Kluyveromyces lactis: one gene and its partner. The protein of the gene in region 1 interacts with the protein of each later gene in a pairwise test. Links are inferred from orthologs where the notes say so. Each region holds a gene or a part of one and is shown on either strand. Other genes may lie near its edges.

The links.
Region 2: the proteins of NUM1 (region 1) and RAX2 interact in a protein complementation assay, tested with the Saccharomyces cerevisiae proteins (2 studies listed by BioGRID). The link is inferred for Kluyveromyces lactis from reciprocal best matches to the Saccharomyces cerevisiae genes NUM1 and RAX2.

What each region holds. Positions count from the first base shown.
Region 1 is NC_006040.1:1,398,456-1,402,907, forward strand, and holds the start of NUM1 (Num1p), read left to right. Parts: upstream 1-1,457; coding exon 1,458-4,452. Other genes in the region: SLX4 (Slx4p), read left to right, coding at 1-1,001. UniProt on the Saccharomyces cerevisiae protein: Controls nuclear migration. NUM1 specifically controls the interaction of the bud neck cytoskeleton with the pre-divisional G2 nucleus. Functions in dynein-anchoring.
Region 2 is NC_006042.1:1,740,248-1,744,696, reverse strand, and holds the start of RAX2 (Rax2p), read left to right. Parts: upstream 1-1,551; coding exon 1,552-4,449. UniProt on the Saccharomyces cerevisiae protein: Required for the maintenance of the bipolar budding pattern. Involved in selecting bud sites at both the distal and proximal poles of daughter cells as well as near previously used division sites on mother cells.

The DNA of each region.
Region 1 (4,452 bases):
TACCACCAGATTCCAAGACTTTACCCACTGGTGAGAAAACGAAAAGGGAATATTCCAGGGCAAACATAAACGATCAACTGATAAACATATCACAAACGTCTTACGATGTAGTGTCCTCCATCGTATCTCCAATGAAGGCCCAAAGAACCGGGACTATTCAGGTGCCCGCAACGAGAACTACTACCTTTCAAGACCAACAACAACAGAATCAGCAACAAGCTTCAAAACCTGCTAATGTCGTCAAGATATATGTTGATAGCAATAGGGACTCTAATGACGTTTTCGCCAGTGTTAAGGGGGAGGTAGATACGCAAGAGCAAGAAAGTTTGTCTACTTTAACTACTTCTATGTTGCATGATGATAATAACGAAATTGTTATAGATAGCGAAGATGAAAGAGGTAGCTATTCCATTATGGAGGTTCATGATGCTCCTCAAACTCATCTTGGCCAGTTCCCCTCTCTACGGAAATCTCAATCTCAAAAATTGAAAACCCCAGTTTCAGCCACAGATTCTCTAGATTCACAACTTCAGCCTGCCCTACTCACAACACAAAATGCATCTCCGAACACCGCGAAGCTACGAAGGTCTTTCAAGGTGATCGGATTAAAACCTTGTAAGAACAAAGTTCAGATGTTGCAAGTATGGGAGACATTGGAATCCAAATTCCCGGGGTCCTCAGATGAGGATAGATCAATTCAACTCAAGCAATTCCTCACGGACCTTATAGTACAAAATCGTGATGAATCTGCATTATTAATGGAACAAATATACACTTTTGAGCCTATTCGTTACGAACAGTTGAAAGAATGGCTAGTATCCTTGAACTCATTCACTGAACTAATCGACGATAGTTTTATCAAAAATTGGGCAGATTTAAACGGGATTGTATTCAGAAATGATACTGAGAACCCCTTGTTGTCACAAAGCCAATCTCAATCTCAATCACGGTTGCTCTCACAATCATTATCCCAACTGCAGTCGCCATCATTGTCTCCATAGTATGTTAGCATCCATGTGTATAATTATCAGCATTTTTTTTTCAATAGAAGCCCAAATACATGGCGTCAAAGGAACATAATAGACTCTCAATGAATACATTGGTCTGACTGCCTATTCAAAACATATACCGAATGTGAGCAAGGCTCTATCAAAGCAAGACAAGGCGAGTCAATAGCTGCATTGTTTATTGAGAAATCCGGGTAACGTTATGCAGTCAAAACAGCTCATCAAAAATTGTCAGTTTCTTTCAGATCGAACGATTCTATAAACAAAACAAACAAAACATAATCGAAAAGGAAATTGGAATCTACGCTCAGTAATCTTTGAAGCATATAGCACTGAAGTCCTTAAACTTTAGCACTGTCCTTCGGTTTTTATTCAGAACGGCAACAATTGAGTGATTTCGGGCAATTTGGAGAAGTGCGCCCCAGAAGCGACAGTAAAATCCCAGGAAATATGTCAGGAAAGGGATCTTCGCAGTCTGATAAACGGTCCAGCCGAGATGAATTGAAGTTTAAATTGAACAGGTTGCAGGAACAACAAAAACATCAAGAAGCTCTTTCTCATGTTAATTCTGAGGACCCCAGTTTACCATTTTCCAATGTCTTGAGTAAGAGAGATAATAGGGCTTCGTTACCTGTTTTTGCAGGAAGCTCTGCTCATGCAGGTGTCATAAATGCCAATTCAGGCGAGGATGTGAACTTTGTTGTTGGTTTAAGCGAGAACTTACTCGTCGAATGCAGACGCTTACAAGCACAGAACGAACGTAAGTCCGCCAAATTATCCTCTTTGCAGGCCGACTATGAAAAGTTGAAAATAAATCTTGAGCGGTTAACAGTGAAGCATGAATCTATGACCAAAAATGAGGATTCTTTAAAGGACACTAATTGGCGACAAGAAATGAAATTGCAAAGTTTATCTAAGGAGTTCCAAGAGTTGACTGAAAACTTCAATAAAAATAAAAGTGAACTTGAAAGGCAGATTGAGCTTTCTAAGGATATGAAAACTGAACTGGAGGAAAGTTCTTTGGAACGTATGGGATTAAAGTCCGAATTGGCTTCTAGTAAAAAAGTTCATTCGAATGAAATTAAGGAGCTGAAAAGACATGTGGAAGAGTTGAACAATGAGAATGATCAGCTGCATAATAAAGTTAACATGTTGAGTGAGAAGGTCACTTCATTAACAAAAGAAATAGAAGAGAGGAAAGGCACCTCTGCACAGGGCAAAGACGATACTGCGATTGCTACATCAGAACAAAAACCATCACCTGCCGTAAAACTGATCGGAGGAGGTATGGAGGGTTCCGATGATAGTTCCTTGAAGAAACCGATTGATTCAAATCTAGAAAATCAGACCTTAAAAGCCAACTTAAATCATGCTAATCAGTTAATTGTAAGATTAAAGCAGAAGCTCAACAGAGTCAAGGCTGACAGCACCATGAACTCTCCATTACCTTCAAAGTCTCCCAGAGGTAAGAATAAAGGCGGTTTATCTTTTATAGGATCTGCTTCTACTCCTCAAAAGTCCAATACTTCCAGCTTCAATTACGAAGTTACAGATAATGAATCAGGTGACTGGAATGTAATACCATCGCCTGGCAAGTCAAGTAATGCTGATATCAGTGATATTGACGCTGAAAGTTTTGTTTCGGAAACTATGGACTATGTGAGAGACCCCATTTCGGAGGGCCCCTTTGAACATGATGAAGACTTTATTAATGAACTTGACTATGAAGATATAGAAAGATACGCAAAAACGCACAATTTCGCACTTGTCCCAATTACTGAACTAGATGAATTAAAAAAATCGAAAACTCCTAGCACAATCTCAGATGACACATTATCAAAGCATATTCTTTCCAGACTTTCTACGCTAGGGTATTTTGATACTTCTAGTTTAACAAATAATGAGAAAGTGGATATAGAAGAGATTTTTAAGCATCCCACTGAGGATTATCTAGTTTCGAATCTGAAGAGGCTCAACCTCACTGCTATCAAAGAAGAAGAGTACCAATCATTGAATGATCCATCGATGGAAACTTTGAAAAAATCATTAGAAAGTAAAGACTACACTGCGTTAAGTAAAAAGGACTATGAGAATTTGCTTCATGCTTCCGAAAGTCCGTCCCTGTCATATCTCGAGAGTAAGGCTCACAAGCTTCAAAAAACCATTATCGACATTGATGAGTATGAAAATTTGAGGAAACCGGATGTTGAGGCATTAACAAACCATGCCCAGTCCAGAGGACTTCAGGTATTGAAACAGTCACAATTGACTGATATAAAAGCTAAATTGGAAAGCCCGTCTGAAGAATATTTGCAGGCCAAAGCAGATGCAAAAGGATTAACTGTACTAACGAAGAGTAAATTGTCCCAACTCACTGAACCAAGTATCGAAGACGTCCAACAGTTAGCTACCACTCACGACCATATTTTAATATCTAACAAAGATTACCATGAGCTACTGAATCCTTCTATCGATAAAGTGGAAAAAATTGCTGCAAATCACAAACTCTCGGTAATACCTGATAAGGATCTAATTGATCTGAAATGCAAAGCTGAAAGTCCAGATATTAATAGGTTGAAAGAATGTGCTAAGTCAAAAGATCATGTTCTTCTTCCAAATGAGGAGCACACCAGACTAATGCATGGAAACACTCATCCTTCAATTGAAGCTATTCAATCATCGCTTTCTAGTGACGATATGGAGTCTTTATTGCTGTGGTTGGCGGAAAGAAAGTCCATAACACCTATACGCACCACTGAGTATCACAAATTAACAGAACTAGCTAATACTCCTCCACTGGATCATCTAAAGAAAGCTGCCAAAGCTTTAGATTACACCTTGCTCAGTCAAGCTGAAATAGAGAACCTAAGAAACTTAGCTCAAAATCCTCCCTTTGAACACCTGAAAGATAAACTACTAGCTCTCAATTATACTATTATCAAACAGGAGGACCTTCATAAGTTGAAGGAACAGCTAGAATCTCCAACTTTGAACTTTTTATCGGAAAAGGCAGCAGAGAAAAACTATGATATAATCCTAAAGACTGACCACTCAGAGCTTTTGAGAAAGTCATCAGACCCGACCATCCAAGAAATGCAGCACTTGGCAGCTGTAACTGGCCACTTGATTGTATCGCAGAGTGACTACGATTATTTGAATAAGACCGTAAATGAACCATCAAGAAACTTCATCATTGAAAAGGCAAAGGATATCGGTATGGTTACTATCGAACAGAAAGAGTATGAAAAGTTAGTTCATAAGGGCAGTGATAAAACAATGTTACTCGAATCTATTAAGAATTTTGGATTTGTTCCAGTCACTGCGCCAGATTTCAATTCCTTTAAACAAAAGTCAATCGACAATGTTGACATCGACCAATTAACTAACAGATTGGAAACATTGGGTTACGTTGCAGTTTCAAAAGAAGGATACTCAAAATTAATGG
Region 2 (4,449 bases), on another chromosome or scaffold:
GTGCAGCAAATAGTAGACAGTAGGATGCTCCGTATATGCCATTCTCCTGTATGCTGGAACGGCCACAGCCTAAGGTTCCTTCGTATTTTTCTGACGTCGACCAGCGCAACGGCCGGAAAAAACAAACCAAAATATGCACTATATATGATGTAATAAAAGCCTAAATAGAGTTACAACTCAATTTAGGATCAGAAGAAGCGAGCGCACATGAAATTCCTACTTAACAAATCTACTTTTTGTCTCCACAAACAGTAAAAAGGGGATTAATTAGCTCTAAAGAGAGGTAATCCAAAAATTGAGAATCGAGATGATGATTTTAATTCCCAGATTAACTCAATTTATGTACATGACTATGGCTTGTCCTGTGTGAACCTACTTGCATTTATGAGTTGAAAGGTTTACCAAAGCTATTACTCTTTATATAACTTCTTACTGACAAGCTGAAAAGGAAAATGCGTACGTAAAAGCTACTTCTATGAATTCCCGAGGTGCTGGAGGGTCTTGCACCCAAAGCATTACCCTACAAGCATCCCACATGACCTACCCTTGTTGATTTGCTTTTGCCTAATGAGGAAATAATGTTGTTTTTGACAGTGGAGTCGTTTCTTTCTTATCTTGTTTACATCCGTGGAAAGTGATTTCAGTTTTTATTTGAATAGAAGCCTTTCGTTTCAACAACGAAAAAGGCAAACAAATGGGGAATTTAGGACGAGACCCAGGATTAGGCTAAGTAAACAATGTCATTTACAAATAATTTTCTGAGACAAACACACAATCAAAGTTGTGAAGTTGTACCATTGAAGAAATAATACCTTATTTGTTTTTGGCTAGTTCTCATCTATATGAATTTTTTTTCGTGCGGGAGTAGTTATTCAAAAGAATTAACCTTTTGGTCCATGAAAAAGACAATGCCAATTTGTATTGATTCATTACCATTTTGTTTTTTTTTAATTTTTGGTAGGTTTAGTTGAAAAGTAATAATTATATGTAAAATCTTAGCACTCCATCATTTTGATATCTTTAGAAGCAGACCTGTAGCGTCCTTGATTTTCGATTGATCTTAATCCTTTTTTGATAACTCTACTGGTTAGTCGAACAAGTTAGTGTGCTGGTCAATTACTGTTCACTGTTTAAAAGAGTCACAACAAATATTTGGTCTAATATACTGATTTCGAATTTTCCAATTAGGCTTTAATTGATCTCATTTAACAGATACGAGAGAAGCAATCAAAAAAGGCCTTTATTCGTGCAGCTTTTCCTCTTCCCTTAAATCTGGTTAGTGCATGGTAACAAATAGTGTATCAATTGTTTTTATCATATTGCTTTAATTCCTGCCTGTAAGATATCAGTTAAGTGTTCCTTGGAGGATTCTCTTCATTGATTTAGTTTTTTGGTACTTGACTCTCCTAATAACGTCATTCATTCTGTCTTACCATTAACATTGTTCTTTGCTGTTTGATTTTGCACAACTTGATCTAATCTCTCATTAAAACCAACTTCCGTCATTCCTTCTATTTTTGAAATACATCAAAGTCTTCACTGATCCAAACAATGTTCTCAATAAATCCCCTGATATATGTGTTGCTCGTCCTGGCTGGAATGGTAAGAGGCAGTCAGCTGTCAAACATTGAAAAGTTGTTGAATATCTCACGTTATGAGGCACCCAATTGGGATTCCCCTGATTTGACGTACATGAATAATTTTGAGGAACTGACAGTGATATCCTATACAGGCCAACAAAATTTCACTGTTCAAGCCAATGAGTCGTCATTATTATACTATAGCAATGATACATTTGTTAAATTGTTTGAAACATCGCCAGAGACCACTGTAACCATGATTGTTCCTTTGTTTGAGGATTCATTCATTTTGTCGGGAACAGGTCAAATTAATGGAGTTGCTTTGGAACAGCAAATATTATTAAATTTAACCAGCTTGACCACATCACCAATATTCCCTAGTGCAGTCGAGAATGTAATGGACATTCTGACCGTCAATGAAACTGTCATATTTGTTGGTAACTTTTCTATGTCAGTCTCCAACGAGACAGGACATGGGGCTGTATTATGGGATGTTGTCGCAAACACCACTGAATTATTTCCTTTCAAAGGATTTGGTGAAAATTCAATCGTTAATTCAGTCGTGAAATTAAACTCCGATAATATATTGTTCGCTGGTAGTTTCCAAGAGATTCAAAACGCATCGCTTTTACAAGAGTTTGGCAATGCGACCAATTCATCTCATGAAGATTTGACGTCCCTACAATTCGATCAATCAGTACCTTTGAAACTTTCATCTATCACCGGAGAAAATGTTCAATCAGATATTCTTCTGTGTCCCTCTGGTGGGCAAAATGGTTGGTCTGCATCTGAAGCCGTTCAATCCACTTTGCAATTCGATTTGAAAAATGAGATCCACCCATCCAAGGTAAGAATATATAATTCTGTGGAAGAAAATTCTGAAATTTCCCTGTTCAGAATTATTACCGGTCCTTCCAATGGTATCATGAATTTGACGTATTTGGATCCTGCATCAGGAGAGCTGAAACAGTGCGATGCATGGTGTCCATTACTATCGATAGAAGATTTGACACAGATAAGCCAAAACTCCACTGCAGCTCCAAAGTCAGTGGGCATCAATAACAATAGTACCAATTTGAAATGGTCAGAATCCTATCAGGAGTTTGCTTTTGTTAATGACATACCTGTTACCATGTTACAGTTTGTAGCTCTAGCGTCCTATGGAAGTAATGCCGCGTTGCATTCTATTGAGATATTCGAAACGGAATTTATGGTGTACGCCAATAATAGTTATAATGAACCAAACTGCGAATCAGTTACGGAATATTCAAAGGCAGAGCTATCCTCTGATAACTGGTACACCACTGACGAATCTGATACCTATATATCAACTAACATCGACGATAATATCCCTTATGTCACCTTCCACCCCAACATTACTTATCCAGGAAGATACACTTTCAATATCTACACACCAGGCTGTCTACAAGACAATTCTTGCTCTAAAAGAGGTATCGTAAATGTCACTATGATTGATCGTTCTATAAATGAAGTGCTGGCCAGTGTATTGATTTATCAGACCAACAATGAGGATAAATTCGACCCTCTGTATACAGGTTCATTAGGAAGCGCACCGGAAATAATTGTAACCTGGGATAAAGCGATTGGTGAAAGCGATTCAGTCATGGTGGTTGACCGCTTGGGTGTTATTACTGAGTATATTGACACCATAAGTATCAGCAGCAATGATACAACCTTTCATCTCAACGGTTTGTTCCAATACAACACTGCAAATGTGACAGCATCAATTTTCAGCACGAATGATACATTTAATGATTATGCTCTTTATAATTTCCCGCTCGATGCCAATCTTTATGCTGCCTCCTTGAATAACGATATTTTGATCGGAGGCAATTTCAATGGGATTGCTAAAGTGGAACTCAACGATGAAGCATTGATTTCTTCCTCTCAAAAACTAGGAACGTCTGGATATACTACTGGTATCTTTGAGTACTCAAATGGTTTATTATTATCGGGTACCTACCAAGTAGAGAATGACAGTCGGCATGAAATTTTGAGCTATGATGGTAATGCCTTCAATAGCTTTGGCCAATTAGATGAGCCCATCGACAGGATCGTGAACTTTACCATTGATGGGCATGAGCTTTTGCTCTTCGACAACGCCTATATTTTCAACGTGTCTGCAAATATGTATGTTTCCAACTCCTCCACGTTTGAAATAACTGGACAGTCGGCTGGGATTAATTCTGGTAACGACTCTTTATTATTTGGCTCCTTTTTGAAAAGGTCTGTCGGTGAACTCAATGGACTGGCATCCCTGTCATCTGATGGACAAGTATCATCACCTACTTTACCTGAGCTACCAACAGATGTTCAACCTTACAAGGCGGCGTATATTAATGATACTTCAGCTGCTTATGCCTTACAAGAAGGCTCAACTGACAATGTTCAACATAGGGTATTAATTACCAACACAAATTCCTCCTCGCATATGCTACAGATTCAATGGTCTGCTCCAATTAACGCCTTTTTATATGATAATGTACCGAATATTTTGGCTATTGGTACCAATGGAAGCAATTCTTCAAGCCAATATGATGTTCAATTTAGCATACTGAACTTGACCGGTTACGAAAACGTTGCTCGAGTTAACTTTTCAACCAATGAACGTGTAAATTCTATGGTTTCTTTTAGTTCTAATAATAGTATTCTAGTCGGTGGATCATACGAGATAGACAATTGCAATGACTTGTGTCTATATAACTACCAAACTAAAGAATGGACTAGCTTCTTAAATGATTCAATCACTGGCGATATAAGACAAATGCAGTTTGCGGACGAAGGGAAAACCCTTCTAGTTGGTGGTTTAATTAAGACTAACAACGAGTCTAATATACAACTTCTTTCT